Diceros bicornis minor: one gene and its partners. The protein of the gene in region 3 purifies or fractionates together with the protein of the main gene of each other region. This does not show direct contact. Links are inferred from orthologs where the notes say so. Each region holds a gene or a part of one and is shown on either strand. Other genes may lie near its edges.

The links.
Region 1: the proteins of EIF4G1 (region 3) and USP10 purify together in Homo sapiens (affinity purification with mass spectrometry; 4 studies listed by BioGRID, with this or other methods). This does not show direct contact. The link is inferred for Diceros bicornis minor from reciprocal best matches to the Homo sapiens genes EIF4G1 and USP10.
Region 2: the proteins of EIF4G1 (region 3) and MKNK1 purify together in Homo sapiens (affinity purification with western blotting; 3 studies listed by BioGRID and IntAct, with this or other methods). This does not show direct contact. The link is inferred for Diceros bicornis minor from reciprocal best matches to the Homo sapiens genes EIF4G1 and MKNK1.
Region 4: the proteins of EIF4G1 (region 3) and EIF3A purify together in Homo sapiens (affinity purification with western blotting; 4 studies listed by BioGRID, with this or other methods). This does not show direct contact. The link is inferred for Diceros bicornis minor from reciprocal best matches to the Homo sapiens genes EIF4G1 and EIF3A.

Annotation. Positions count from the first base shown.
Region 1 is NC_080771.1:33,698,355-33,706,005, reverse strand, and holds the start of USP10 (ubiquitin carboxyl-terminal hydrolase 10), read right to left. Parts: upstream 3,283-7,651; 5' UTR 3,272-3,282; coding exon 3,227-3,271; intron 2,947-3,226; coding exon 2,878-2,946; intron 1-2,877. UniProt on the Homo sapiens protein: Hydrolase that can remove conjugated ubiquitin from target proteins such as p53/TP53, RPS2/us5, RPS3/us3, RPS10/eS10, BECN1, SNX3 and CFTR.
Region 2 is NC_080752.1:9,453,130-9,460,633, forward strand, and holds the start of MKNK1 (MAP kinase-interacting serine/threonine-protein kinase 1), read right to left. Parts: upstream 3,061-7,504; 5' UTR 2,963-3,060; intron 2,562-2,962; exon of another isoform or gene 2,343-2,561; intron 1-2,342. UniProt on the Homo sapiens protein: May play a role in the response to environmental stress and cytokines. Appears to regulate translation by phosphorylating EIF4E, thus increasing the affinity of this protein for the 7-methylguanosine-containing mRNA cap.
Region 3 is NC_080754.1:39,380,945-39,388,765, forward strand, and holds the start of EIF4G1 (eukaryotic translation initiation factor 4 gamma 1), read right to left. Parts: upstream 3,166-7,821; 5' UTR 3,057-3,165; intron 2,258-3,056; 5' UTR 2,201-2,257; intron 1,978-2,200; 5' UTR 1,944-1,977; coding exon 1,884-1,943; intron 1,650-1,883; exon of another isoform or gene 1,590-1,649; coding exon 1,503-1,589; intron 401-1,502; coding exon 224-400; intron 1-223. Other genes in the region: PSMD2 (26S proteasome non-ATPase regulatory subunit 2), read right to left, coding at 7,339-7,521.
Region 4 is NC_080745.1:81,934,678-81,942,764, forward strand, and holds the start of EIF3A (eukaryotic translation initiation factor 3 subunit A), read right to left. Parts: upstream 3,330-8,087; 5' UTR 3,209-3,329; coding exon 3,160-3,208; intron 1-3,159. UniProt on the Homo sapiens protein: RNA-binding component of the eukaryotic translation initiation factor 3 (eIF-3) complex, which is required for several steps in the initiation of protein synthesis.

The DNA of each region.
Region 1 (7,651 bases), on a different chromosome or scaffold from region 3:
GATTGTGGTGTTCCTGGCAACCATTTTACTGTGATTCAAAGACAGAAAGTATTTAAAATTTGAATTACTAGTAGAGTATTAACAGTAAGGCTTGAGGAATATGGGATCTGATTACATTTTTCCTAATTAACTGTTTTTTAATCAGAAAAAACTAAACTTCAATCTTTATTCTACAGAATTCTAAAATGCATAAATATATTTTATTGCCTTAGGAAATACAATAAATAATTTAGCTTTCACTATTTCCTAGCTCATATCCTCAGATTCCTTAAAATCATAACTGTTAACATCAATGAGCACAAGAGATAGAGATGACGCTGAACTGAATTTACCCATTTTCTAAAATGAAATGTAATATAAGCTTTATTTTCTTTGATTTCCTTCTTTTTCCTAAAGTGAAGGAGAAGAAAACAAGTAACAAATCTTTCCTACATCTGTATAGTGTAAATACTGCTTTCAGTATGTTCTCATTTAACCCTACCTCCACAACCCTAAAAAAAAATTTAGAATTGAAGCAGTCAAGGTGAAGAGGGAAGGACTTGCCAAGGTCACATGTAAGTGGCCCACTCAGACCCCAACCCTGGCCTTTGACTCCTATGCTAAGAAGTCAGCTTCTCCTACCCCATTTTATCAAATAACAGAACTCCCTACATAAATATTTAATACATGTGCCAACAGACAACTGTGTATCTCTATCAGGGGTTCTAAAATTAAGGGATCTAGGGCCGGCCCCGTGGCTTAGCGGTTAAGTGCGCGTGCTCCGATGCTGGCGGCCCGGGTTCGGATCCCGGGCGCTCACCGATGCACCGCTTCTCCGGCCATGCTGAGGCCGTGTCCCACATACAGCAACTAGAAGGATGTGCAGCTATGACATACAACTATCTACTGGGGCTTTGGGGGAAAAATAAATAAATAAAATCTTAAAATTAAGGGATCTAAAAGTTAACTAAGATTTAACTTGATGTACTTACTTCTCCCCCCTTTTTTCCTTTTCAAAGCAATTTAAACAGTTTTCATATTTAAAACATAAAGCTGAAAAATGTTCCAAATAAGTTTTTACTAAACTAAAACAGAAACCATTAATCACATAAGGAGTGGACATACAAGAAGACCTCAATGAATGGAGAAATACACCACAATCATGTTTAGAAAACCTATCATAAAGATGTTAATTCTCCTACAAATTATCTATAATTTTAATGCAATTTCAACTGAAATTTCAATAGGATTTTTCATGAAACTTGACATACTGATCATAAATTCCTAAGAAAGAGTTAAGGATGAAGGAGAGCCAAAATACTTGTAAGTATAAGAAGAGGGTGTGTGTCCTACCATCAGACTGATTATAAAGCTGAAGCAATTAAAACATGGGGTATTGATACAGAGATAAAGCAAAAGGCCCACACAACAGGGGACCCACAACCAACTGAGCATATATGGAGATGTGCGACCTGACGCGGGGGCACTACAAATAAGGGCTGAGTTCTCAGTGCCACTCACACTGCCATGGGGGAGAGGAAGTTAGATCCCTACCTGACACACACAAATCAGTACCTCAATTTCAGTTATATTACATACTAAAGTGAAAACAAAAACCTTAAAACTTTTAGAAGAAAACAAATGTCTTTATTACCTCAGGGAAGAGAAGAATTTCTTAAAGATATTTTATTAAAAACCAAAAATCCACAAACCATGAGGAAAAAAAAAATCAATGTATTTGACATTATAAAGATAAAAATGCACTGCCCTTACCCACCAAAAAAAAGAAAAAAAGCATCACATATGAAGTTTAAAAGCCCTCATGCCAGGAAGAGATACCCATAATATGCAAAACCGAAGATTATTACTCCTATAAATCAATAAGAAAAAAGATATGCCATTTGATAAAAAATACGGACAAGGGATACAGACGGGATAATTCATAGAAGCAGAAGTCTATACTGCCAATGGACATATGAAAATAATGAAATAGTGCTCAACTCTTTGTAATCTGGGAATGTAAATTAAAACAATGAGAATCCATTTATTACCCATCAGGTTAACAAAAATTTTATATATGCCTATACTGAGAATTACCAAGAATTAAAAAAAAAAAAATAAGATCAAGAAAACTCTTGTGCACTGTTGATGGGAACGGAGACTGTTAAAACCACTTAAAAAGAACATCAGCTGTCTCTAGTAAAACTAGAGACAGAAATTGCAGAACCCAGCAATTCCATCCCTAGGAATATATTCTGGAGAAACACAGAGGAGCATGAGGAGACATGACAAAATATGTTTATCGCAACATTTTTGTAATAGTGGAAGAACTAAAGACCTAAATGGTCTTCAACAGAAAAAAAGGTAAATAAATCATGGTATGTTCCACCAATGGTATTTAGCAATTAAAATCAAAGAACAAGAACAAAATGTATCTGCATAAATAAATCTAAAGAATACGTTAGCTTAAAATAAAAAACTACAAAATGATGAATATAATATGAAACCATTTATGTGACATTTTAAACCACATAAAACAATACAACGTACTATCTGTTGCTACACAACACAGGTATATGTAATAAAAGGCAAAAACCATAGCCAGGAAAAAAAACTTACCAATTTTAGCCGAGTTGTTATTTCTGGGGAAGAAGGGAATGAGACAGGAGAGGGGTACAATGGAGGCTTCAACTGTATCTGTAATGTTTTGCCATTTATAAATATAGCAAAATGTTAATATTAGTCAAATCTGGTTGGTGGGTTCAGGCATTTCTCATATTAGTCTCTGCACTTTTCTGTACACTTGAATTCTTTATCAAAAAGCATAAATTAATAAAAAGTAAAACAACCATTAATTTTATCTACACATATACTCAACAAAACAAAGTTTTGTCTTACCTCAACTGAACAGCGAGGAGTCACAAAGAACTGATTGAATTCATCAGGGCTAAAATCTCCAAAAATATACTGAAAAAAAGAGAATCACTGATCACATAAAATGCACAAATTATATACTTTTGGAAAAAATGCTATATATTATAATAATCCTATGAAATATTTGGGCCAGAATCCCCAAGACCCTTTCTCGGTTAAACAAAACAAGGGTCTGCAAACTGAGATTTCTAGGTGTAGTATTTTCCAATTACAAACATGAAAATACTACTTAGCCTTCTCCATAAATTGTCAAAGAAAACTCAAGTTGATAAAGCTTATTTTGAAATAGGTCGATTTTGTACACCAAACTTACAAGCAGAGTCCTGCTTGCAGGAGAATTTTTTTGGTTCACAAACATTTCCAGTTGTTCCATTTACCTTTCTGCTGACTCATGTCATTACCTCCTTTTCAGTTTTCTCTGCCATACATACTAAAGAAAAGCAGAAAATGTGGTTCAAATGGGGAGATAGGGAAATCCAAAAGAGCAAAATGTTAATGATCCTGATGAATGATCTTTAAAAATATATGTGATTTTTATCTTAAAAGTGTACTGGAACATGACGCACAGATAAACATTATTCAATAGACACAAGCACAGTTGTGAATCCTCATTTCAGAGAATTCTAAATGTGACTTGATGGAAAAACAACTGGCTAAACTACATGGAAGCAAGTTTGGCAACTGCCTAACAGTTCTTCAAGAAATAAGTCCTAGACAAGGAATCAGTATGCCTAGATTTCTACAACAGAAAATCACTCGCTAGTTACTCATTCACTTACTCCATAACATTTAGAGCCTACTAAGTGCCACGCACGATCATTGGCACCGGGGATAAAAATGGTACAGCAGAGTTGTGATTCCTCCACTCTAATGGAGCCGATAGTCCAGTAACTTGGAGGGAAATCTACAAGCATGTGATTCACATATAACCAATAGCTTATTATTATACAAATGGATAATACCCACTATTACCATAAATGTGAATAAATGGCAACTAACTCTCGTACCCTATCGGTAAGAAGGCACTGATATTTCTGGGGAAAATATTTCTGGAAGGCTCTTTGGCAATAGCTACCAAGACTGTAAATACAGATTTAAAACCAAAATATCTTCATAAAATATTTACATATACTTCCAAAAGTCCACAAAGAAACTGTGCACTGATAGTAATGGTGAAAATAAGGAGAGTCCCAAAACAATCTAGAAATGGTCTTCTGAAACACTTTCACTGTGAGCTCAGTGAGCTTAAACTGTCTTATCATCTCCAACCTGGGGGTAAAGCTTATATTAAAGTCACTTAGGCACAACACCAAGCACTGGAAGGGAAAGGTATCTTTTAAGTGAAAAGGAAGCAGAAGAGAGGTCAGGGTGAGGTGTGTGTGAAGAAATGACACTGCTGACTAGTATTCTTTACAGTTCCACGGCAGATAAAGATCTTTAAGTCTAGATGTAAACCTTAAAACTTAGGAGAAAATTAAAAAGACAAGCCACAGACTAGGAGAATATATGTCTGACAACACAAGTGCCAGCAAGGACGTGAAGCAACTGGAACTCCCTACGTGGCTGATACAGATGCAGAATGCTACAGGCACTCTGGAAAAGAGTCTGGCAGGTTCTTATAAAGTTACTTACCATACAACCCAGCAATGCCACTCCTAGGTACTTATCCAAGAGAACTGAAGACCTATGTCCACAAAAAAACCCCGTATGCTGATGTTTACAGCAGCTCTATTCATAACCGCCAAAAGCTGGAAACAACCCAAATGTCCATCAAGTGGTGGATGTGGTAGTCTACACAACGAAATACTACTCAATGACTCTAAAAGAGCATCATGCTAAGTGAAAGAAGTCAGACTCAAAAGGCTACAAATGTTGTTTAATTGCATTTATATAACATTCAAGGACAAAATTATAGGCACAGAAAACAGATCAGTGGTTGTCAAGGTCTGGAGAAGGTCTGATTAAAGAGGCACAAAAGAACTTTTGCGGGTGATGAAAATTTTCACAAGAGAATCCTGCTGGAGAAACAGCAACCACCTTAACTGCCGAGGAAACACACCCACTAAAATATGATTTCAGCCCTCATATATGAATGGACAACAAACAATCACAAGACATGTGAGGGGTAAATTAGGGGGAATTAAAATTACGGGAAAATGATTGAGTAAACAGAACACAGAAACAGAAAAGAACTTAAAAAAAATTCTGATTTGTATCCTTAAAGCAATTCTAGCAGGTAAAATAAACAGAATGCCAAGAAAAAGGACCTACTAGAGAACAAGGAAGTGTCCACAGAAATCAGAAGATTATTAAATTTAAATTACTAAATTTACAAACTCAACAGAAGGTCTTAACAGCAGAATCAACAAGACTAGAAAACAATGGAGCAGTATTTTGAAAGTTCCAAGAAAAAAGTATTTTGTTCCTAGAATTCTAAAGTATTTTGTTTTCATAGAATTCTATTCTATTGTGAAGATTATTACTCAAGTGCAAAAGAAAAACAACATTCTGACACCCCTACACTCTTTTGTTGGAGTGGGGTGGGGAGGTGCCTGCTTAAGAATTCCAGAAAAGGAACTCAAGAGACACAAGAGTGGTAAACAGAGAAGGAGACCCAGGACACTGCTGACACTGTAGCTGTGAGGTCTAAAGAAAACATGAAGAGTCACTACACTGGAATCACGCTGTTTTATTTAATACCAACAGCAGAAACGTTGCAGTAAAAGATCCATTTTATCTTCTCTTACGAATGGTAAGGAAGGACTCTACTTTAATTCAGAACGTGGGGAAGACATAAGGATGAAAACTGGAATGTTCTACAGGATTGTTAAGCTATTTTCTTTAGGTAGCTTTTCTTCTTGGAAAAATAAAAATGAAATGCTCATTTAACACACACTTCTAAGCACATTCTCTTACTTGAGTACACATACAGTCTAAACTCTTTTAAAGAGAGAGATCTGGTTAACCCAGTAAGAGAACTAAAATTCCAAATGATTTAATAAAATCTGGTCAATAAGAGGGAGAGGGAGGAGGAAACGTGACTCCAAGCTACTCGCACACAAGCCTTCCCGCCTGCATGCAGGCCCCGGGGCCCAGCGCTAGTCCAGTCCCTGCGCTAGTCGGCTGGGCTGGGAGCCAACCCACAGCCAACCACTGGAATGCTTAGAAAGGTTCCAGAAAAGACTTCTTCTATTATTTTCAATTTTACTATTTTTATTTATTTCCAAAGTATTATTTAAAAACGTTGCTATAGATTGTAAATGTGCTTTTCTTACAACTTCATGTCAATAATTTCTCCACAGATATGCACCTTCAATCTGCTTACAAGAGTCACTCACTGGGGGAAAATGAGGAAGAGCTTGACGTACAGATCCGGAGAAACGTCCAAGGTACTGTTAAATGAAGAAAACATTCTTGCTGTAAAAAAGGGAGGAAAATAGAAATATCTACTTGTGTTTGCATAAAGAGATATTGGAAAAGGAACCCAGGAGAGGATGCAGCCGTCTACCTACTCAGAGCCATGGGGACCCCAAGTGGGGGGAGTGGAGCGGGAGGGAGATTTGTTAGTTTGTATCTTCTCAGAGTTTTTAGTTCTGAACCATATTAATACCTTATCTATTCCAAAAATTAACTGTAAAAAGTCAATGTAAACAACAGAAATCATTGTACAACTATTCAAATATACCCATTTTGCAGAGATGTTATAAGTTTGCACCTGTGTTAGTTTCAAGATCTCACTGACAACAGATTAGATCTTGATGAAAACATTTAATCCAAGAAAGACACCATAAGCAACTGCTATCAACTATGCAATGCCAAAATATCATTTAACACTTGACAGTGGCTAGCCAGAGCTGTTTTGAACTCCAAGTAATTTCCTTAACACTGGCTCACATATATTAATAGACAACCCTGACAAAATACACGAGTCACATCCTCTTGCCATAATCAGATCTATTTTCAATCCTCAAATGCATAAATTTTTGAAAGTGAGCAGTTACACTTCACCCAATATAAAAAACAGCTATTTCAACTTTGTCACAGAGTTAAAAGAGGGGATCGCTAAGAAGCTGGTACCAAGGATTACGAGCGTCTCTGCAAGGGGTTCACCACCAGGAGGTCTGGTTAGGATTTCCATTTCCTGTAGAATGAGTATTCCCCATACACTCACGGCAGATAAGCTACATGTAGCTTCTTCCTATGTGTCCGCACACATATTACTTATTCTCAAACAGGAATCAAATGTAATGCAGTAACTGCAGACAAAGGGAGGCTTGATATCCGGGGAGCTCATTCTCAAAGGTCAGAAAAGGCCAAGTCCCTGAGGTCTCAGGCTAGGGGAGGCTCATGAATAAAAGGGAATTTCCTACCACCAGAGTGCGTGTAAAAAAAGGAAAAACATTTCTTTCTAGGCCTCTTTGGTAACCGTCCAAACATTCATTCAGAATGATTTCATAAAATGTCCCATATAAACTTGAGGCAATGACATCATTCAGTGCTTAACAAAACCATGTGCCTCATTCAAAATGATTACAGGAAGTATACTATGAAGAAGCATTTATTATCCACACTGTTTCATAAAGGCAAATACAAGGATGGCTTATAAAATAAAATTTAGCTTAAATAAATTTATTGGGAGAAAACAGGTAATTTTTTGATATCCTGATAAAACTACAAAAGCAAAGAAAAGGCCAAATATTTACTCAGTAGTAAATCCCAGTGAGTGGACATAAATTAC
Region 2 (7,504 bases), on a different chromosome or scaffold from region 3:
CCCGTGGTGTAGTGGTTAAGTTCATGTGCTCCGCTTCGGCAGCCTGGGGTTCACAGGTTTGGATCCCAGGCACAGACCTACGCACCACTCATCAAGCCATGCTGTGGCGGCATCCCACATACAAAACAGAGGAAGATGGGACAGATGTTAGTTCAGGGCTAATCTTCCTCAGCAAAAAGAGGAGGATTGGCAATGGATGTTAGCTCAGAGCCAGTCTTCCTCACACACACACACACACACACACACACAAACATTAAAAACCAGAGTTGTGGAATCAGAAAGTAGATCGGAATGATTCCTATCTACCCAGTTTCCAAATTTATAAAATAGAGTTTTGAGATGTTACACATAAAGCATTTAAAACAGTATACGCCATATAGTAAGCGCTCAATAAATAATTATATTAACAACGTAGTACACTGGAAAAAATCAAAGAGTCAGGACTTTTCACTTCTAGTACCATCTCCACCAATGACTGGTTCCTTGTGCAATCTTAATGAAGTCCTTTCCCCTCTCTGGGCCTTTCCCCATGTGAAAAATTAAGGAAGTAGAACCAGACGGTTCCCAAGCTCCTTCTACATTCAACAATATATATTTTTCTGTGATCAACAAAGAGCCTTCTGTTTCATATGCTGAAGCTGTTGGCAGGGAAAAATGTGAACTTGTAGCTGCTGGTTCCCCAGATAGTAGGGGCCAGGGCCAAGGCCAACAGCAGGACAACTGATCAGTAAACCATCTGTGTGCTTTCCCCTGCGTGAACTATATCACACTAAGTGCAGGTCCCTGAACAGAGCACCACTTCCCTTCCAACTAAACTCACAGCAAAGGCAAGACAAGAGCTTGAAAACAATAGCAACAATGAAGAATCCTGCCTTGTGCAGAACTCCTGTACTGTCTTGCATTTGATGCCTGTAATTAGGGCATCATTAATCTAAACTAGGGCTCTCCTTAGGCACACAGAGAAGGAAAAACACAAAGGCCCACTCTGAACCTGAAAGCTCATAAAACAAAGACCAAAGCAAATAAATAAAAAATGTCACTGACTCATTCAGCCACAAACACTGCAGTGCCCTACTATGTGCCAGGTAGAGGAGGGATGAAACAGACCTGGTCCCTTGCCACCAATGTACTCAGAGTATATACGGGGTGACATACCCCAAGGCAAATTGTGATCAGAGCTATATTCGAAGAGCAGCCTCTGCTAGAGAAGATGGGAGGGTGGCAACTAATCCAGCAGGGGGATCAGAGAAGCTTCACTGATGAGGTCACGGGCCTTGAAAGATGAGAAGGAGGAGGGAACTCTAGGAAGAGCGAACACAAGCAAAGGAACACATGCAAGGAGTGTGAGGAACGAAAACTAGTTTATTTTGACTGGGGTGCAGGGTGCAGGTTTGAAAGAACAAATGGAAACACGGCAGACGACAGGTTTGGGAACAGATTATGGAGGAACTTGTCTATGAGACTGAGGAGTCCAAACTCTATATAGCAGACGACAAAGCCCGCCAAGGTTTCTGAGCAGAGATATAACATGATGAGAACATTGTCTCAGGAAGATCACATAGGTACCATAAAGAGGATGCAAAAGGAACCAAGTTACTAGATTACTATGGGAACACATTACAGGGGACCACAAGTGCTTCCTAAGCATGTGCTGGAATCCAACTGCTCCTGTTGACAGAGCTTCTCTCTCCCAGGGCTCAGCTTCATGCAACCGGAGTTTAAGAGGTGCTCACTTGCCAGGCCCTCTAACCATCAAAATCTGCTAGGGAACAGGCCTCCCAGACAAAGTCAAGAACCCAATTAACTCTCTGGATCACAGAAAGAGAAGCCCGAAGGTAGAGAAGCTGGGGGGTGGGATGGGGATCAAAGTCTCCAGCTGGCCCACCCCATATAAAAAACCCAACCCTGGGTCTCCTCTTTACATCACTTCCAGCCTAGCCCTCTTGAGAGGGCTGAAGTGAAGGGTAGTGGGGCTGAAAGCACCTGGCTGCTGGCCAAGGATCCAGTGAGACAATGTACACCGACTGCCCAGCACAGTGCTTGGCACACGGACAATGGTCAATATGCATTAGCTCCCTTCCCATCCTGCAAGGTCAGTTCCACCTATAAATCCCACTGAGGCTTCAAGAGCTACCTCACCTCAACTGTTCCCCCAGGGCCTCTCTACAGTACCCCAGTCCAAAATCACCTAGTTCCTAGGAATCACAGCTGCCATGTATTCAGCACCCATTTTGTGACAGGTGCCATACCAGGTGACACATGTAAATCCTATTCAAACTTCACAAGGACCCTACTATGCCATTTTACAGGAGAAACCAAAGCTGAGAGAGGAAATGACTTACCCGAGGACACACAGCTAGGAAGTGGCAGAGGGGGGATCCGAACCCAGGCCTGCCTGTCCCAAAGCCAAGCACTTTCAGCACCTCACTCCTGTCACCCGCCTGACCTCGGATCTGCTACTGGCCATCTGACAGGTGGCCTGGAAACTCCCACAGAGAGAGACTGCACCTGACACTAGGACTTCTCTCCACTCTACGGCCACCCGCGCATGTCAGGAGCTTCTAAAGGAAAACAGTTAACTTTAAAATAACGTAGTACACAGAATAAATTCCTCACATGAAATACTATTCATGATGTTGGACTTCCTGAGCCCTGAGCCCAGCCACACAACCCGGTAGGGACTGTCTCAAACCGGCCACAGGCTGAGCTGCGACCTCGGACACCTGTCACAACCCACGCCCGACCCCCCAGGCACCGGCTGAGCCGGGACGGGGGACACACGCTGCGCCCTGAGCTCGTCAGAGACGGAGCCCTGAGGACAGCCCTAAAAAAGTGTCTCCTTCGGCGGTCCTCTCGCAGCAGAATCGGGTCGTGACCGCGGGCCGGTCTGAAGGCCGACACCGCCCCGTCCCGGGCACACCGACTCCTTCAGACCCCCGCCCCATTGTGCTCGGAGGGATACCTTGCCGTTCTGCCTTCACTTCAGCTGACTCGCCACGTCCCGGTTGGCGCGCACCCCCACCTGCAGATCGCTCCGCCGAGAACGCGGAAGAGGCGGTACTAGACCCAGGGGGCGGGCCCGGCTGGAGAGGGGCGTGAGGGGGCGGAGCTGCGCCTGCGCCTTGACGGCTACTCAGGGAGAGGGTGGGGCGGGCTAAGTAAATTGCGCAGGCGTGATAGAAAGGGGCGGGGAGATTGCTGGGGTAGGGGGTGGGCCTTAGCTCCGTTCGACGCTGCCTTTTCCGAGTGAAATCGTGGAAGCCAGGGAAGCGTCCCGGGGAGGAGGTCTGGCAGCGGCAGGTGTAATTAACATTTACCGAGAGCTTCTGCATGCCAGGAAGGCATTTTTAAATGCCTTTTACTTATGGGGAAATGCTGCCAGTCTTTTCTAATAAAAGAGCTAATTCTGTAAAAACTCTTAATATAAAATTACATGCCTATAATTTCACCATGAGAGTTTCTCCTTGAGTAAAGCATTACCCCCAGTAGTTTAAAATAAAAAACTTAAAAGTTCATTTCTTGGAGAAAACCAACTGCAAATAAGGTAGTATTTCAACCATGCCCCGTCCCTCCCCCAGGCTGCAAGTGTGATGAGAGAACGAGAGCGCTGACTTAGGTTTAATTCAGATCCTGACTCGAGTGTTTCCTCCGCTGTGAAATGGAAGTCAGCATCCCTTCCCTGCTTGTCTCAGGATTGTTGTGAGGGTCTGGTGAGCAATGCTAGTTAAAGAGCCTCCTGGACTTCCTTCCCATCATCCACCTGACAACCGTTTGTTGCCTTTCCCCCTCTGGGCTCAGTTTTCTCATCCTTTTGATGGAAGGAGGTCGGGAACATTCAGGGCTTTGCTAGATTGCTCAGTCTGGGTGAAGACTGAAGAGGGAGACCTTCTTCCAGGCTTCCAGAATCCCTCAGTCTGACCTGAAGGCCCGTGTATACCCTGACCTCTCTCACCATCATCTTCCAGGCTCACCCAAGCTTCATGTCCTCGGAGGCCATGCTGGTCTGTTCCCCTCTCTGTTCCCTGAATGTCTCAATAGCTAGCTGGCCCTGAGTCACTCAGGCCTGTGTTCCAATCCAGGTTCTCAAAATTTTTATGTCCCCCACATGGCAACCAAGTTCAGTTAACGCCAGAGATGAGGGCTCAGGCAGGGATCCCCCAAATCAGGCAGAGCTCCACATAGCTCACAGAAGTAGGGATGGGAGTGGCAGCAGGAAACCTCAAAGAAGCTGCAGTGTTCTTGAGGGCCAAGGGGGGTGGCAGCCTTGACTCAACAGGTGGATGCTCTGCCCCAAGGTGGGAGAATGGTTTGCTTCCTTGTTCCCTGCTCCAAATATTTTTATGGATCCTGAGCCAATGAGAAAACAAAGCCTTCCGCAGCCTGGCTGCCCCCACTGTCCCTCTATTCCCAATACACTGCTTCTCCTAGCACCCTCTCCTGCCAAGTTTTGCCCTACAAGGGGCTCTTTTCTCTGTGTTGCTGAGAACCCCAGCTCTCCCTGCTGTCTCCTCCTTTCTCTCTACATCTCTCTGGTCTTCTCCAAGCATCCCTCTCTGAATTTTTCCAAGCAGTTTTGTGATGGCTTCCTAATGTACTCAGAAATTCCCTTGTAAGGTGCAGGGCTTGGCCACACGGTTCTGAGATAAATCTATCCTCACTGCCATGGTGTATTTCAAAACAACTATGGGCCCAGAGCTGGAACTCTCTAAGAGTCTGAGCTGTCCAGTAATTGAAGAGGTAATAAGTGACCTGTCATAGGAGGTGTGCAAGCAGAGCCACCTTTTAGAATGCTGGACCCGGCCTCCTCTGGTGAGCCAGAAGAAGGGGCAGCAGAGTGGAGGGCCTTAGAGATCCTAGAGCAGTGAAGGGAGGGATACTGGGAGCCAGGCAACTAGCCCAAGACAAACTTGATTCAACAAGCTATTATATGTCAAGCATTTAGCACTGTACCTGACACATAGTGAGTATGAGCAATTATTGTTATCATTGTGAATGATCCACAGACTGTGAGTAATGAAGTTTACAGATCAATCAGTTCCTCACTCCCACACCTGGTCAAGAAATAGATGAGGAAATTGAGGTCTAGAGGGGAAAGGGCCGGCCCTAGTACCTCAGGGGCTGGGCGGGGACTGAAACCCTGGCCTCTGCCTCCCAGGAGGGCACGAAGCCAGGCTGTCTCCCCAGGTAGAGGAGAGAGCTCTAGGTGGGCCTTTGCTGAGTCTTAAGAACCAAGCTGGGCCAGCCCCGTGGCTTAGCTGTTGAGGGTGCGTGCTCCGCTACTGGCTGCCCAGGTTCGGATCCCGGGCACGCACCGACGCACTGCTTGTCCGGCCATGCTGAGGCGGTGTCCCACATACAGCAACTAGAAGGATGTGCAACTATGACATACAACTATCTATTGGGGCTTTGGGGAGGAAAAGGGGGGAAAAAAAAAAAGAACCAAGCTGTTTTTCAACTCTTGTCTGGGCACTTGATGGTAACCAGCAGTGGAATGACAGCAAGTGTCTCCCGGGAATAAGCTCAGGAGTCAGCCCCGTGTCCTGCCACCCCCACTTTGAGCTCTGGCCAGCACCCAACAAATAGCCTTTTCTTGAGAAGGGCTTCCTCTGCTGTGATTAGGATTAAGACTATTTCTGCTGTCGCTTAACCCATTAGCTCCAATAAACCACCCAGATTAAGGGGGTTGGGGAGGAATAGCCAGTGCCAGGTGACCTGAGCTGAAACAAGGAGACTCTCCCAAGAGACTGAGTTCCCTGAAGGCAAGGGCCAGCCCTCCCTACTCTGAGGGTCCTAGCCTAGCCCAGGAGTTCTGGGTCCAGAATTCCCAGAGGCCTGGGAAAACCTTGGTGTCTCCACCCAGGAGAGCTAGGCCAGACCAGACCACACTAGCCAGCCCTCCACATGGCCGAGGATCTCAGGACAAAAAGCCCTCCCTGCCCCATTTGGCCCAGTTCCTTCCACAGCCTGCCCAGGAGCCATGTGGCACTCAGACCACAGCTTCCCACCAGTGCCGCTTTAGTTTGCCTCCTTTATTTTACCAAAAATAACAATAATAAAGTCTTCCCTCTATTTCACAAAAATAGATTTCGCCCCTACCCCCGTCTGCAATCAGCAATGGCCACAGCCTAGAATTCATCTCCCAGTGCAGTCCTCCCTGGGGGAATCTCTGACCCACGCCCTCACTCGAGAGTCTCTGGCAAAGCTGCTGGGCCAGTGTGTTTCCAGGGAAACTTCTCCAGAGGCAGCAGTCCCAGGTGCAGCTGGCTGGCCCCAGGAGCCCCATCTGCTTCCCCAGAGATCAGGCAGCTGCTGGGCCACGGAGACAGGCATGATTTTGGAGGTTTGGCTCAGCTGACAACCTCAGCAGACCCGAGGGGTAGTAGGGCACTCTGGCATCAGACTAGACATCCTTGCTCAAAGCAGGAACAGCTGTGTCCTGGAGACAGCCTGTCAAACCCTCTTTCCACGTGCATCTCATCTTCCTATGTAGCAATCCACAGGCCCTGGGTGGGAGTCAGGACCCCTGGTTTCTACTCCAGCTCCACAAAAACTTTGCTGTGAGGCCTTGTACAGCTTCTCCCTCCTTTCCTTCTGGCTTCAGTTTCCTCCTGTGTACGTGGATGATTCTGTGAGTGAGACTGGATGATCCTCAGGTCCTTTCTGGCTCTCTATCTGGCCTCCCAGTGTGGAGGCTCTGGGAGGGGAGAGCCCTGTCTCTGCCTCAGTTTCCCCACCTGTGGGTCTGGGCACAGGGCTGGGCAGGGGCCTGCTGAGTAATGGAGTGCTGAATGAACACCCCAGTTTCTCTGTGGACAGCTATGCTCTGAGATCCACCCAGCTGGAATATCTCAAGAATGGTTGGGAAGGAGGCAGGATCTTGCAGAATGAGAACTCTCCAAGCCTGGAAGAGTCCACTCACTAGCTACATGGTCCTCGATGTCCCACGATGGGAGACAAGTCTCCAGATTTCCCAGTTCAAGTTCCACTAGCTCCTTGGGTTGGAGGATTATCTTGTGCTGGGCTTCAGATCCTGGGAGCCAAGTCTATAGATTCTAGGAGCTAGACTGGAGCATGATTCCCAATTTAAGGACCAGGAGACCTTTGTAAACATGACAGATCACTCCCAATCCCCAGGAGGCTGTCTATAATCAAGCCTTCCTACAGGCAGAGGGATGAGTGAAAGGATAGCTGATGAGCATTTCCGGCTGAGCAAATCAGAACCTGTGACTGTGGTGGGCCAGGGGTTTAGGTACCCAGGGCAAGGCTCCCCTTCCTACCTCCCTGCAGCTCCCCAGAACTCATGCTTACGGAAGACAGCAGCCTGGAAGGTTCAAACATAGAGCTACATCTACAGCCACATTTTGTGTACTTACACACATGGTCAGACACACTGAGTGGGGACACTGACCTGTCATCACTCCTACAGTGGTCACGGTCTGATGGTCCCAATCCCTGCTCACTTTCTTCTTTCCTTCCTTCCTTCCATGTACCTAATATTTATGGA
Region 3 (7,821 bases):
GGGAAGGGAGAGGAGGAGGGGAGACAAGGAGTTGAGGGAGCTATAAGCACCATATCAGACTACAAAAAGAATGTAGGGCAAGACAAGACAAGCCAACTCTGGGCAATGACCAGAAGCAAGTCCCACCTCTGGAGAAGAGATGGGATTGGAAGGTCAGGGTGAGGGAGGCGAGGGTTGGGGTACAAGGCTCTGTGGCTTCCAGCCCCCAAGCCTCCAGCCTCACCTGTCCGGGGATGTAGTAGGCCCCCTGGGAGGCTGGGTAGGAGATCTGGGAAGGGATCATCATTACTTGGGATCCAGCAGGGTAGACATGGGCAGCTGGGCCAGGGCGGGCGGGGGCTGCACTCTGCACTCGGGAGGCTGCACTGCTCGGGGGCTGGGCCCGGCTAGGGTAGAAGTGCTGTCAGGAGGGAGGAAGGCAGTTGGCATTGGGAAGGGGAGGAAGTGGACAGCAAAATGGCCATTCCACAATGTCTCTAGACTGGAGAGAAGTACTAGGGGCTTTGGAGCATGGAGACCAATACTTCCAAGACCCACTTGACCAACTGATGATTAACTGGCCTCTTGTACTCACACATGCCCTCCAAACTCAGGTATACACTTTGCACTCTGCATATATTTACTCCCTCACTGCCATGCATACTCATGTCACCTCCACCAGGCGACCCCTATGCAGAGGCTGCCTGATACCCAGATGCATCATGCCTAAGTAAAGTCCTTTCGGGCAACATACTCCTCAGCATGCACTGCTCCACCTAAGGCACTGAGGAACTAACCACTAACATGCAAGTCTCCCAGGTCCCAGATGCACGCTCTGCGAGATATAGCCCCTAACATGCATCAGTCAGGCTCAGACTGAGGACTTGAATGACAAACAAGTCCCCACCCTGAAGAGCCCCAGTCCTTGCATCTAGCCCCTGACTAGGGTGGAGGGTAAGGGTGAGACCAAGAGAAGGTCCAGGATTAGCAAAGGGGTATTACCTGCAGAGACCTGAATCCTCCCTGAGAGCACGTGGGGACAGGAAAGAAGAGAATTATCCCCAAGGTGATGAGGGGGAACAATGAAGGAAGTAGGACAAGAATCCTCCCACTTAGCGAGGAAGAATTTAGGGTATAGATAAAGGCAAGAACCAGCTGGAATGTTTATCCCATCATAGCCCCAAGAGAAAGAAGGGAAGGGGAACAGAGCAATGGCAACCTCCCAGTAAAAGGAGGAAATAGGAAAGCAGGAGTTGGCAGCAGGGTCCAAAGCACTGCCCCCAATTCTCAAGTCACCAGGACCCCTAGTAACGCCACCCCCACCAACTACATACTCCCCAAGGGGCCAGATACTGTAAGTAATCAACAGCGCAAAGTGCAGAGCTGCACAAAAGAACACAGAGCAACTGTCAGGAAACTGGGGCAGGTACAGGGCCTCCAGAGTTTCCATCCTAGACCCAAACTGGCCCAAGCTTTCCAAGGCCCCACCCAGGCCCCCTACTCCCCTCCCCACGGCCCCTCACCTGGCGGGGCTGAGAAGGCGTGTTCATTTGTGTCGCTTGTGGCGTACTGAACACCACCGGTGCTGTCTGCCCCGGGGGAAACGCTGGCTGAAGGAGGGAGACCAGAGTTCAGCAAGAGGGGAAACCCGGGTGGGGCAGAAACCCAAGCTGGTGAAGTAAGGGGAGCAGATCTGTGACAAGAGTCTCAGCAGTCCACATACCCCCTCCCCATGACAGCCCCTGGGAACAGCCCAGGGGCTCTGTCTCAATTTGGCAGCAGGAAGCTGCACTTTGCCCTGACACAGATGGGGGTGGGAAATCCAGAGGCTAGAACCTGTTTCTGACCCAGCTGCCTGGTCCCCCCACCCCCACCCCAGTCTCTGCTAATTCGTCCCTAATTACCTGTGGGAGTCCAGGGGATGGGGCGGGTGGGGGGCCTGTGGGCTGTGGAGCTTTGTTCATTTCATTTGGTGCCACATCAGGGTCCCCCCAGCACCTGTTGGGAAAGAGTGGAGCTCGGAAAGGAGAAGGGACCCAAGCTTAAGGCAAATGGACTGGGGGAGGGGTTGAAGCAAGGGCTGAGTCCCATACCGACCCCCGGAGGCGCCAAGAGGGTGAAGGAGCAGCAAGGATCCAGCTTATGTCCCCATCAACACGTTGTCAAACCCGCATCACCTCCAACCACCTCCCTGACCTGATGAAAGAGCCACCTCACTCACCCCCTCGGTTAACAGTAAGTCCACGGTGCGGCCTACAGGTTCTGGGCATCCGAGGGCCTGGGGTTGGGAGTTGAGGGGTATCAACCTGGCTCCGCGGGGCCCAAGACCAACCAGACCGGAAATTCCAGGTCTCGCTGGCACCAGGCTCCCGGATCACAAACGGAGCTAGTAGCTTCGGCCGTGGTGTCCCCACCCCCCACCCGGGGACACCGGGTTCGGGGCCTGGCCCAGGGGCACACAAGGCACGCCTGCCGCGGGGGCACTCGCGCGGGGCCAGAGGCGAGGCCTGCCGCCACCCAGGCGTGGAGGCCAGGAAGGGCGGGAGTCGGGCCGTAAAAGGCCAGGCGGGCGGCGGCCGAAGAGAAGCCGGTTTCAAACAAGTGAGGGTCGGCCCGGAGGCCGGGCGGGGCCGGGGGCTCCTCCCTGCCCGCCGCCGCTGCCTCCCTCCCCTGCGCCCTCCCTGCGCAGCGCCGGCCAGTGCCAAAGAACAACGTGTCACTTCCCGGCGGCCGGGCCGCAAAGGGGGGATGGGGCGGCGGGCCGGGAGCCGCGGTGCTGCGCCCGCGGGGCCTCCTCGGGTCGAGCCGAGGTGGCACCTCGCGACAGGCGAACTCGGCGCCCTCCCTGCCCGCGGGGACCGCATATTCCGGCCCGGCGCTCCCCCGCCCCCACCCAGCAGCCAGGCCGGGCACACGTGGGCCGGAGATCGGGCCCTGGAGGGCCGGGGCCCGGGCTTGGGCCGCGGAGCCAGGGTGCCAGGGCGGCGGCGCAGGGTGGCCGGTCCCGGCCTGGATGGCGGCGGATGCGGGGGGAGGGGGTGGGGGGGCCGGGTCGGGCCCGGACATGGCGGCTTTACCTTCAGTCTCCTTCAGTCCGCGCGGCCGAGCCCCACGCAGCCGCACAGACGTAGTCCACAACCATTTCCGGCTCCCCGCACAGATCCCGCTCGGCGGCCACCGCTTCTCCGCAGGCGCAGCCGGCGCCCCCACGTGACCGGCGCAGAGGGCGGAGCCGCGCCTGGCGCCGCGGAGCACATGGGATTTGCCCCGCCTCGTCATGTGACTGCCACTGCCCGCCCCCGTGTCCCCTCCCGAACTTTGGAACTCCCAGACCGACCCCCTTCTGCGTCTGTGTTCCGTGGTTCTTTAGTTCATTCATACTTTGAGCAAGCATTTATGGAGTGCATACTAAGCGCTAGGTGAAGTGCTCGCTGGGAGCTGAGAATACTGAAATTAAAGACTCAGTCCTGCCTAAGTAAATCATGCAATAAGTACGGAAAGAAATACGAATTATGCAGCCTTTGAAAATAATGTAGGTTAGCTCATGAAAAGACCAATTAAACTGAATGTTACTCTAGAAGTATTGAAACATTCTAACTAGGGAATTAGTATTGTTAGATTTGTCTTTTACAAAGATCAGCCGCTCCCAGAGAGGGACAAACTCAAGCATAGAAAGTTCAGAATAATGGTAGAAGAAGTAATCCCAAAACCCCTGCCCGTTAGCCAAAAAATTTTGGACACCAGAAGGGACCGTACTAGAGCCAAATCCACGTATTTACTCAGTCAGATAGCCTGAGTTTTAATCCAAACTCTGCTGCTTACTCCCTGGCCACATACCTACCTACCTACCTAATACCTGTTGTAAAATGGGAAGATTTGAACTCAAGTCTGAGCTTTTAACCACTGTGCTTTTTCTCACAATGATAATACCCATTGTATCGGATTGAGAGGATTAAAGGAGTTAATTCATGTGAAAGTGCTTAAAACAGTGCCTGGATACCCTCTCCTCTCTCTACCTCTGTCCTCTGTCTTCTCCCCTCTCCCTTCTCCTCTCTCTGTGTATATACACATAAAATCTCAGAAGAAAAGGTTTTCTCAGCACCAATCGATGAACTGGTCACTTAATATATATGACGTATGTCATATATAGTCCTCACAATTTCCTACAAAATAGATTGTATTATTATTCCCATTGTATATGAGAAACTAAAGCTCCAAAGAAAGGAAAGCAAAATAGACACATCGAGAAGGAACCATAGTGAGAATGAAAATGCAAATCTAGAGTGTTCTCTGTGACACTCTTCATTTGAGTTCTGTGACTTTACTGTGTATGGCTGCCTTCTGTACTCTTCTCATTTCTCTTTCTGCATAAGCAAACTAATAAATAAAAATCAGTTACTGCCTACATGCCAATCCCTTCCTAGATCAGAAACCACTCTCTCAAACTCCAGTAAGAAAAAGGTGCTACATAAAATACATAATCACCTAATCACCCCAGAGGCATCTCAAATTGTGTATGCCCAGATAGGAATTTGTCATCTCTCTCTACATAGAGTCCTACACCTTGACCCCAAACCTGGTGTTGCTCATGTATTCTTTTTCAATGAATAGCATCCAACCAGAAAATCTGGGATCCATCCTACATTCCTTCTCATCCACATACTACATCTAATCAGACACCAGGTCCTATTGGTGTTTGGATCAAAATCAAGTCCTGTGGATTTTATCTTTAAAAAATTATTCTTCTGTGCTTCCCCATCCCCCCATTTCTACTGCCCTGGTTCAGGCCTTCATTTCCTTTGCCTGGTCTCCGCACCTCAATGGTGAGCTTTCTCACCCAGGTAGCTGATCATGCTCTCATTCAGTGGTTCCCATTGAGTGATACTGTCAATTTCTTAGCACAACAAAGCTCTTCTAAACCTATCTGAGCCTCTGTCTCTAACTGTATCTCCTACCACACTTTTCCCTGGCCCTATACCCTTTGTCAAACCAAGCTATCCCTGTTTTTTTTTTTTTTTTTATAATTTTATTTATTTATTTTTTTCCCCCCAAAGCCCCAGTAGATAGTTGTACGTCATAGCTGCACATCCTTCTAGTTGCTGTATGTGAGACTCGGCCTCAGCATGGCCGGAGAAGCGGCGCGTCAGTGCACGCCCAGGATCCGAACCCGGGTCGCCAGCAGCGGAGCGCACGCACTTAACCGCTAAGCCACGGGGCCGGCCCATATCCCTGGTTTTTTAAAATGAATAGCTTTTCTGCCCTCCTGCTTTTGCTGCTCCCTTAGTTTTATCCTACTCTCTTTTCTTCTGGAAAAACTCATCTTCCTCCAAGTCTGTTTCCTCAAAATCTCCCCTGACCTACCCAGGCACTTAAGCCTTATTTCAGTGATCCCAGGGTACCTTGTTCACAGCCCAATACAGTATCTATCATGATATATCACAATTATTTTCCATTACATAAGCTTTGTAATTTATTTATTTATTTTTCCCCCCAAAGCCCCAGTAGACAGTTGTATGTCATAGCTGCACATCCTTCTAGTTGCTGTATGTGGGACGCAGCCTCAGCATGGCCGGAGAAGCGGTGCATTGGTGCACGCCCATGATCTGAACCCGGGCTGCCAGCAGAGGAGCGTGCGCACTTAACCGCTAAGCCACAGGGCCAGCCCTACATAAGCTTTGATAGGATTTTTTTTTTCTATCTTTGCATCCCCACAAGCTAGAATAATGCCCAATGCAGAATAAGGCTCCATTGATATTTGTTGCAGAATGCATGACCAAATGTGAAAGGTTGAGAGCCACTATGAAAATTTCTTACTCTAAAGCACAATCACTGATTTAGGAGAGAATTATCTTTTTATTTATGTTGTTTTGCAGTTTACAAATCACTTTCTAATTTACCTTATTTTAACATCACCACTATTGGAAATCAGGAAAGGCAATTACTCTATCCAAGTAATACAGATGATAACAGAGGCTCATCAGACATGCTGATTTGCTCAGACTACAGCAGGTCCCATTAAAGGGACTTGACTCCCAAGTCCAGTGCTTCAACCTTTTACAGATTTTATACAGGCTGCCAAGTGAGTGCAGAGAGGAGACAACGGAGACACTCAATCCAAAATTTCCACTTCTCCACCTAGCCAATACCTTGGACTACAATAGGGTCCGCAAGTCTCCAAGGCTACAGAGACAGATTAATGTGGTCAATGAGGGTGTGGGCTTTGGAGTCAGATGGACTTAGACTCCAATCCTGGCCCCACCATTTACTATGTGACTAAGTTACCAAACCTCACCCAAACTACATTCCTCCCCAAAACACAGGGATAATACCTACCTCTCAAAGTTATTGTGAGGTCTCAAAAGCGTGTAGGACAATTATTCTTCCAACATTTATAGAAGACCTATTAAGTGCCAGTTACTGTTCAGAGGGTAAACCCCAGTGTTGGGTAAATGCTAGTGATTATCTGGCAGGGCCACGTGTTCTCCACTGCATCCGCGGGGTCCATGCCCCACCTGGCAGGGTTGCTATACTCATACCAGCCCCACCAGGAAGAAGCACTGCAGATCAAGGGTGATTATATTCCAGGAAGGAGCCCACTTCTCTTTCCCATTGCTACACTGAGAGGAAGGTCAGGGTCAAGCTTTCTTGCACCCAGTTTCTGCAAGGACAGTCCAGAAATAGATGTTAATATGATCAAATCTCTCAAATAGCAACCTCCCAAGGAGGAAAAGAGGGTCACAGGAGGTAAAGACGTCCCTTTCAATCAGCGGCCCAGGAGTCGAGTTAGAAAGAGTGGAGCTAACTCTGCTGCCTCTTAGAGCAGGTATCCTTAGTCCAAAGTCAGGAAATGATGGGCTTGAGGTGGGCGTGCATTGGTGGGTGGGAGTAGGGGATGTATGGGATCCACCTTGGAAAGTTATTTGTACGAATTTGTATGAAAATTTGTGTGTATGCATCTCCTAGAAAGAAGATCCATTACATTTATCAGCTTCTTAAGGGTTCATGCCCCTAAACATGAACCACTTTTTAAAGATGATTAGGAAGGAGGAGAGAAGGGAAAGAGTCTTAGTTCTTTCCATTCAGGGCAGTCTCTCTCCTAGCCTCAGCTCAAAACTGCTACAAACAATGCTGTCTCACATCTACTCCCCACCCGAGTCTGACCTCCAGCCCATGGTACCCCAGAAAAGAGACACAGAGGGACCTCGGGGATAAAGGTCTTTATTCAACAAAGTTATCTCACTTGGTAACAAAAGAACAGGAGGTAACAATTCCCTCACAAGTCTGGAGCAGTGTCCACCCCTGGCAGCAGGAAGCACGGCCCACTGACAACAGCTGCAGCTCAAAGGCCCTGGTGGCCACTTAGAGGTCATAGTTGGGGTTCTTCCGAAGGATAACAAAACCTTCCAAAATGGGGGTGACAGGAAGAAACTCCTCAGTGGCCAATTCTGCCCGTTCCCCGTGGGCCAACAACACTGGCGTTGTGTGTGTCTGGAACCCTGTGATGGTCTTAGGCTTGCCGGCCTGGCCCACCACATCCACTGCCTGTAGGATAAGAAAATTGAGATGAAGGGACTCCAAATGGGAGTGTCGCAGCAACCCAGTGCTCACACCAGTTTCAGAAAAGCAGGCATATGTGCACTCTCCAAGTTTTAAAGTACAGTCATGCATCACTTAATGATGGGGATATGTTCTGAGAAATGCATTGTTAGGCGATTTCATCGTTGTGCAAACATCATAGAGTGTACTTGTACAAACCTAGATGGTGTAGCCTACTATACACCCAGGATCTATGCTACTAATCTTATGGGACCATCATTGTATACACGGTCCATCATTGACTGA
Region 4 (8,087 bases), on a different chromosome or scaffold from region 3:
AATCTTATACTACTGTACACAAGCATTGTCAATCTGCTTGTAACATGAAAGAGGCACAAAGAGAGTTCAAGTTGAGAGCTGGCCCCAGCATGGCGTGATGACAAAATACTGAACTGTCTAAAATTAATTCACTTTCCCAATCTCTTATTTTTAAATGGGAGATTGTGGTTTCTTACGTCATTCTAAAAAATCAAAAGTCATGTTTACGGATAGAACTAAAACTATTTTTCACTTCCAAAACAGATCAAACAATCAAAACTTATGATTCAAAATCCCATACTCTCAAACTCTGAAGCAGTAAGTTCAAACAAGCCAAGGCTTGAAAATGCATTAAAAATAATAAATGCATTAAAAAATAATTTTTCATAGCAGACACCCCTACCATCACCAACAAAAAAAGAAAACATGGATACCAGGCAAGGATGTTTGTAAAAGAAAAAACTGGAATGAGAACAAATTTATCATGATAACCTACCATGGTGCGCTTCTGTTTTTACCCTATTCTACATACAAGGAGGATTTAGTTCCTCTGAATTATCTAACTGGGAAAAAACAGTTTTTGAGGCTAGAAAGAAAGGTCACAAAAGGCTCTACTGCAATGTTTAAATGTTCATTTCCAGATAGATATTCTTGAAAAAAATTAAAATCTGGAATTATAAACTATTACTAAAATGGTGAGCATTCTGAGCTTACCTTTCAGACACAATGACCGAAACTATGTATCTATCTATAAAGAAAAAGTTTAGATCAGCCCTTTATTTTTACTAGTTTATTTGCAACAGACCAAGTAGATAAGCTATAATGTTACACAATTTGTGGGTTTAATAACTATTTTTTAAGTCATTGGTTATAGAGTGCTAATTAAAAGGATGTTACAGGGTCAGGAACAACTAATTTGGCACTACTAACAATCTAATCTGGAAAAAGAGCTTTTTCCAAATGATTCTGGGGTATGAATTTCTTGCCTGTAACTACTGGACCAAATTCTCATCTTCCTGAATAATCACTGTTTCCAAAAATACTGCTCTGATATACAAACTCAGGGTGACCTGAAGGACTATTACACTTACATTATTCACATTTTATTAAGATAAGGTAATGGATTAGGTCTAAATGTGTTTGACGTTACAAAAATTATAGATAAAACATTTAGATAAAATAAGATTACTTCCATTGAATGAAATGTACTTTCATCATTCTATTAAAAGTTTCGTAAGCAGTGCCACGGGCCATCCACATTCCACTCACTTTGACACTCTGAGAAGGGATCTCTCATTCACAAGATCAAAGGCACAGAAATTACTTCTTGAAAGGTAAGGCATCTCATCTCTTCCACAGAAACACCCACCCTACAGCTCAAAAGGGCTGCAACGGGGAATCAATACAGCCTTTTTTAAAACTACACAAAAGTTTAGAGTTATTGAAATACTAAGTTCACATGAAGATTCAGAAGTGAGGAATGATGAAACAAGGCCTGAACACATCAAATGTGTACTATTCAGGCCCTCCAGATTACAGTGCTTCAGCCTATTCACATGGGGAAAAACGCCCGTTGGTAAAGCATCCAAATGACTCTAGCGATTAGAGCAGTAATTTCATCTGAGCCATTTAATATACCATAACACAATTCTGAATTTCGAAATATCAAAAAGGAAATTTTTCCTCACTCTGCTACAGTTTATTTTGTAGTGATAAATTTCCATTTCAATCTATTCTCTTCCCTATAAATTAACGTCCTTAAACTTCTTGCCTGTTCTAACCATTAGACCACTCGTTAGAATGAGTAGTGATCAGATCTAAGTTGTACTTTTGTTTTTTAAAACAACCACTCTATTCCACAGAATGTGGAACCATACTATTTCAGACTGTTATCCCGCCCAAAATTGTTACTTTTAGTTAAAAGAACCACCACGTGACAAACACATCTTTGGCCCTGACAGATTATCAGCAGGATCAATTTTATGTAACGACTGAAATTGACCTTTCCACAACAGCAATTTTCAAACAAGCTAACAAAACAGGCTCCACAAACATAAAACTGTAACAGACACGGCATCTCCATCTACAGCATGGAAAAGACCCCTAACTTCCTTGAGTGGAGAAAGAGTGGAGATAAGAGCTATGGACGCCCCACCACTTACAAAATGTTAGGCTCAAAAAAAAAAAAAAAAACCCTAAACAAGAAAGTTTTTAAAGATCAGAGACATGTATAATACATCTGCACCCCCATAATACCAACGTAATAAACGCACAAGTTTGCTGGAAAGCGCCCATGACTTAGTACACATATGGAAACAAAAACCGCAGGCAGCATCGCTGTGGCGAAAAAACGACTGATCTGGAAGCCAAGAGACCTTGGTTTTAGCGTCCTGGCTCAACAACTAACTCGCGGAGTGACCTTGGGCAAGCCATTCTCTCTTTAAGCCTCAGTTTCGTTATCTTTAAGAGAGAACTTGAAGTCTCTCTCTCATAGTATTAACTCTGTTCCAACTTCCTGTGATTCGGAACAGACTTTTGGGCTGCCAATAATCAATGCCAGGAAAAACAGGAAACAGGTTAAATGGGTCAGAGTCCCCGAAGCGGCGATACAGGGGTTGGGGGAAGGGGAGGTGGACCCTGACCCAGCCAAGCCCGGCGCTGGATTTTGGGGGGCGGAGGAGTCTGCGGGAGGGCCGGGGGTGGGACCGCTCGGCTCCGGCCCCGGCGGGAGGTGGAGCCGAGGTTCTCGCGTGCATTGTCCCCGGGAGGGAGCCATGTTTCCTCCTCCTCGGCACTCCCAGATGGCGGCCGGGGGCGCGGGGCCCAAGCACACGAAAGCCCCGTGGCCTGGAGAGAGCCAGGCGGAGGCGGACAGCGGGAGAGGAGCCCGGGTCCCGGCAGCTCTGTCCCCGGGGCCGCAGCCCCCGACACGCAGCAGGAGCGCGGGGAAAGAAGGGCCCGGAGGACGACGGCTCCCGGTTCCGCGCCTCTCGCCCCGGTCGGCTGCAGCAGAAGGGGGACCATGCCCAACCACGGCCGGGGACCGGGACGGGGGCGGGCGGGCCGCACTGCCTCCTCCCCGGCCGCAGCCGGGCGGCGGAGCAGCGGGAAGCAGGCCCGGACCCCACGACCTGCGAGGCCTCGGGCCGTCCCAGCCGACGCGCCCCATCTCCTACTCACCGTTGGCGCGTTTGAGGGCATTTTCCGGCCTCTGGAAATAGGCCGGCATCTTGGCGGCAGGCTCGGCTCACCCGGCGTCAGCGAACTCCTCAGTGGCCCGAGCCGGGAGACGAGACCAAGGGGAACCAGCGCGAGCTCCCACGCGCCTCGCCAGCAGTCGCCCGCGCCCAGCCGGCCAGAGACGGAAAGGAAGAAGCCACGTGACCCCCGCGCCGCGGCGCCGCCGCCGTCTAGGCCCCGGATGTAGGGGCGGGCGTCTGCGCTCGCGCTGCCCCTCCCCCGTGCGCAGGCGCGCTGGCGTCACGCGACCCGGCTGACGTGGCGACGGCCGGCGTCCTCCGCGCGCTGTCGTTTCTCTTCGGGACTTGGAGGGGACCCTTAGGCGGGTGTTTCTCGAGCCCCTCGCTCCTCGAGCGAGAATCGTGGTGGAAAGGGTGAGATTTGGGTCCGAGTTTCTGTCCGGCGAGAAGGCAGGGGTCTGCACGGATTCATTTTTCACGTGATTTGTGCGGAGTCATGCAAAGTTACAATCAGATCCCATCCGCCTAGGGAATGGCCTGTCTTGGCTGAGTCAAAATGCCGAATTTGTCCGTTTAACGGAAAGGCATTGAGCAGGTATCACTAAGCCAGAGCTGCTTCCCACTGGGAAATAGTGGTGACCTGTCACAGGACGGCCTACCATGGAGAGGAGAGTCCTAAATAACTAAACAAATAAGCTTATTTCCTTTCTAGGTAAAATAAAAAAGCTGATGACACAGAGATTGCCTGGGGCATGGGGGCCCTCAGAGAAGGCGAGTTTTGAGCTGAGACCTGAGGGATGGGGACACACGGGACAGAGCAATCTGGCAGAGGGCACAAGCCCTGCGGCAGAACAGACCTGCATGATGTTTGAAAATACATAGGTGTGTTGTCATCTTTACATTCAGCCCACATCACAAGCAAACAAAAGAAAAATGAATGTCAGTGAAAACAAAATCGATTTATAACAGGCCCTTTGGCACCGTCTTTTGTTATTGATTAACAATTTTAATGTTCAAACAGTAACTATTATACCTAGAACTTGAAAGCCATTTAAACCGAATCTAATTACTCAAGCCCTTGGTATGAAATTAAGATGAGTTCAGAAGAAAAATTCAGAAAGGAGCAGTGGAATAAATTGTTGCAAATTTATTACACATTTTGTTATAATGGATGGGATAGGCGAATTAATGCCAGTACTACATTCATGAGCGAAGAAACCACAGTACATACCTACAAAAAACATTTCCCCCTCATTCCTTCTACCTCAGCAAAGAGATTTTTCTATTTAACTAAATTTATCACTATAAAGAAAAAAAATTGGGGAAATGCAGACATAGACAAAAAATAAATCACAAATTCTAAAAAAAGGTCATTTTAAAATTAATTTCAGACAGTTCTTCCTCCAAAATGCTTAGACCACTCTAAATGTCTGAGCTTACTCCCCCCAAAATAAGAGCCAGACATGGTTGAGCAACAAGTACTAAGAAGCTGTAGAAACTGTTTTATGGGGCAGGATCAAGAGACTAGCCTGTGTATATAATAATTAAGTCAAAATTAAAAAGCTAAACATAAGAGCAATTACAGCTTTTAAATGCTTAGATAGAAAACTATTTAGTAGGCCATAGGGAGATGTAACAGAATAAAATAAAAGGAAACCTGGCCTAAGTATCAGAAAAAACTTTCCAACATTCTTACCTTTGCATTATGATATCTCAAAAAAAAAGGTAAAATGACCTCATTGATTATTGCTCATTATTTGGTAGACCTAAAACAATACAAACGCTAGAAAATTGGGAGGTAAAATGAAATCTAATATCTCTACATCTTCATCCTTTTCTCTTTCAAGTTATTTAAAGTATATGAAGCATTTGGTAATATAATAGCTAGTGATCATTTAAGTGCATTAAATATATTTATTTGTGAATGAGTAAAGGTATAATGTCAATTTTCAGGATAAATTCACCTATTAAACTCGACCAACAAGTATTCAGTACCAGCTAACAGCCATAATGTTAGATGCGGGGGCTGAAAAGATGCAAGATGCCTGCTTTCAAGGAGCTGATGATTCACTGATGAAGATAGATGAGTACACGGTGAGGGACAAGATAGGATCTATTCTGGGCCTGGAGAAAAGCATAATTACTTGCTGTTGATTAATGCTCACTTAGTGGAAAACAAGCAACCTGAATAGGCTAGAAGCCACTTTAGGAAGTGGTGAAAGGAAATGATCAGGCTGATGAAGGCTTTTTCCCTAATCAAGCTACTTTTGTACTACACAGGACTGGATAATTTCTCCAATACAATGTTTTGGGGTTTTTTCCCGACTTGAGTGGAGTAAATAAGATTCTCAAAAAAACAGTTATTAGGGGCACAACAGAGGTACTACATTATACATATTTGCAACATAGTGTCTTACTGCTTTAAAACAAGTATCATGTTTTACAGTTTACAGAATGCTTTCACGTTCATTGTTTTGTTTACAAGAATTGTAATGAAGGTATTTATATTGATGAATGTAAATTTCAGAGAGGTAAACTAAGGTTCACAGTCATGCATTCATTCAACAAACCATTTTCAGGCACAGGAAGTAAGCACCCAATAAGTGGGTAAACAGCAGTGAACAGGACAGACTTGGTTCCTGCCTTCTCAGACTTTGCAGTCTAGAGAGAGGAAAGATTTTGAACATTTACCAGAAGCTCCGTGAAGACGGAGACACCACTTCAGTCCAGGCCCCCATCATCTCTCCAGCCCCATCTTTTGCCACACTCACTGTCTTTCAGTGTGTTAATCAGCCCTCTCTCCCACTTCCAACCCCATGCATGCCATCACTTCACTTGGAACATTCTTCACCACCACCCATTCTTTGCTCTTCAAAACAAGCACCTATTTCTCCTTCAGATTAAATGTCACTTCCTCCAGGATTCTTCCTTGGCCCCCAGATTAGTTTAGATGCCAAGGCAGTGAGCACCAGTAACATCCTGTCTTAGCACTGATCATGCTTCAATGTAATTACTTGTAGACTATAAGCTCAAATAAGGGAAGGACCATATTTGTGTTGTTCACCACTGTATCTCCGATGCCTGGCAGATCATCAGGCAGAAAGGATGCTCTCAAAAAATGCTGGAGAGATAAAAGAATGAATCTCCATATAAACATTTATATGCAACAGTTTCCTACTATACCTGTGGGGAAGTAACAAGTTTGAAAGTCCAATGTGTGTCTTCTTTCATTCATAGAGCATCTCCTCATCTACACATTGTTCTCAATATACCTAAGCTCCAGCATGCAGATATTAAAGAAACAATAATGTTCTTCACCCAAAGCTCCTAATAGCGCTGGTTCTGAACCTCCAGCTGTACTGAAGTTCATTTGTGATTTTCTGAGGTCTCCGTTCAAAGATATCATGCTTTCCTACACCTATGTTTCCCCTTCCTCCTCCCCATCCCACCCGCTGTGTCCTGACTTACTCCTGCTAAGACTTCAAGCCTCAGCTCAAAGTCTTCCTCTGCACAGCCTTTCCCACCAGCTGGGGCTGACTTAACTGCTCCTTTGCTTGTGCTCTTTGCTCTGGCCATCCCTGAGCACTCTGCTGCCCAGCCACCCTGCAAGGGGTGGCATATTCCTCCCTCAAACCACCAGCGCCTGGAGGTAGATCAAAGACCAACTAGCTCCTCCCACTAGTAGCTACTTCCAGAGCATTCTCTTTCTCTCTCTCCTCCCTTAAACTCTGACCTTTGAACCTCATGCCGTCAGACTAGACCACCAGCAGTTCCTCTGTGTTACAGTCCTCTCTGGCATCTACAGATCCCAGGTCACACCCCCTCATTCGTTGACTCTTGGTTCTGGTTCCCTGTCACTTTCTCCAACACTACTGTCATAATTATCAGTGGTTTCTATACCCATGTAGATGATCCTGCCAATATCCTGGCCACCTGGCCTTGAGCTTGTGTCCTCTACCTTACCTCAGCCACTCACTCACACACATGGTGATACTCTACAAGCCAGACCAGGGGTCAGCAAACCCCTGAAAAGGGCCATAGAGTAAATATTTTAGGCTTTGCAGGCCTGAAAACAGTGTCTTCAATTCTTGAAGCAACTGTTCTTGCTTAAAGAATAACAGTCTTTCTCTTTTTTGCATATTACATTTGAAAATGTAAGGACCATTCTTAGCTCAAGGCTGTATAAACACAGGCAGCAGGTTGAATTTGGCCCACAGGCCATAGTTTGCCGATTCCCACCCTAGACCTTGTCATACCAGCTATCTCAGTTTCACGTCTTGATTTCAAGCATCTCACTTTCTGGCCACGATCTCCGATGGTTAACTCTGTTGTATCCCAACTCCAACGGCCCTGCTGCCTGACTGGGACCTGTAGTCCATTCATCAGTCCTACTTCCTTTCCACTACCCCTCATTCCGCATGTCCTCTATCTGCTCCGTACCCAACTTGGATGCCATCATTTAGTTCTTTTCATGCTTGGCTCTCCTTTATTCTACCCAAACCCCTGGCAAAGCCCCAACCCTGGCCAATCCAACCCTCCACATGTTCCTTGCCTGCAGCCTACTATGACTGGAGAAAAATGCACAGCCGTATTGGCAAGCCTCACCTTAAATTCACGGCCATAAGCCTCAACAAGCACCATGATACTGTTCAGCTATCCTATGACCTTCTCTAGGCCATGTGTCCGTTCTCCCAGAGGACTATTTCATACTTTCCCTGTGTCCAATCCTCTCCTCTTGGCCGATGTCCTCATTTTCTGTAGCACTGCAAACAGTGGAGCAATTAGAAGAGAACTTTGGCATTCTGCCTTCTACCCACCCACCAGCATCTGTCCTCACACATCCTGCCTCCCTCCTGATACTCTTCAGTCCGTGCTCTCGTCTAAAGCCAGCCCCTATATTCTAGTGCA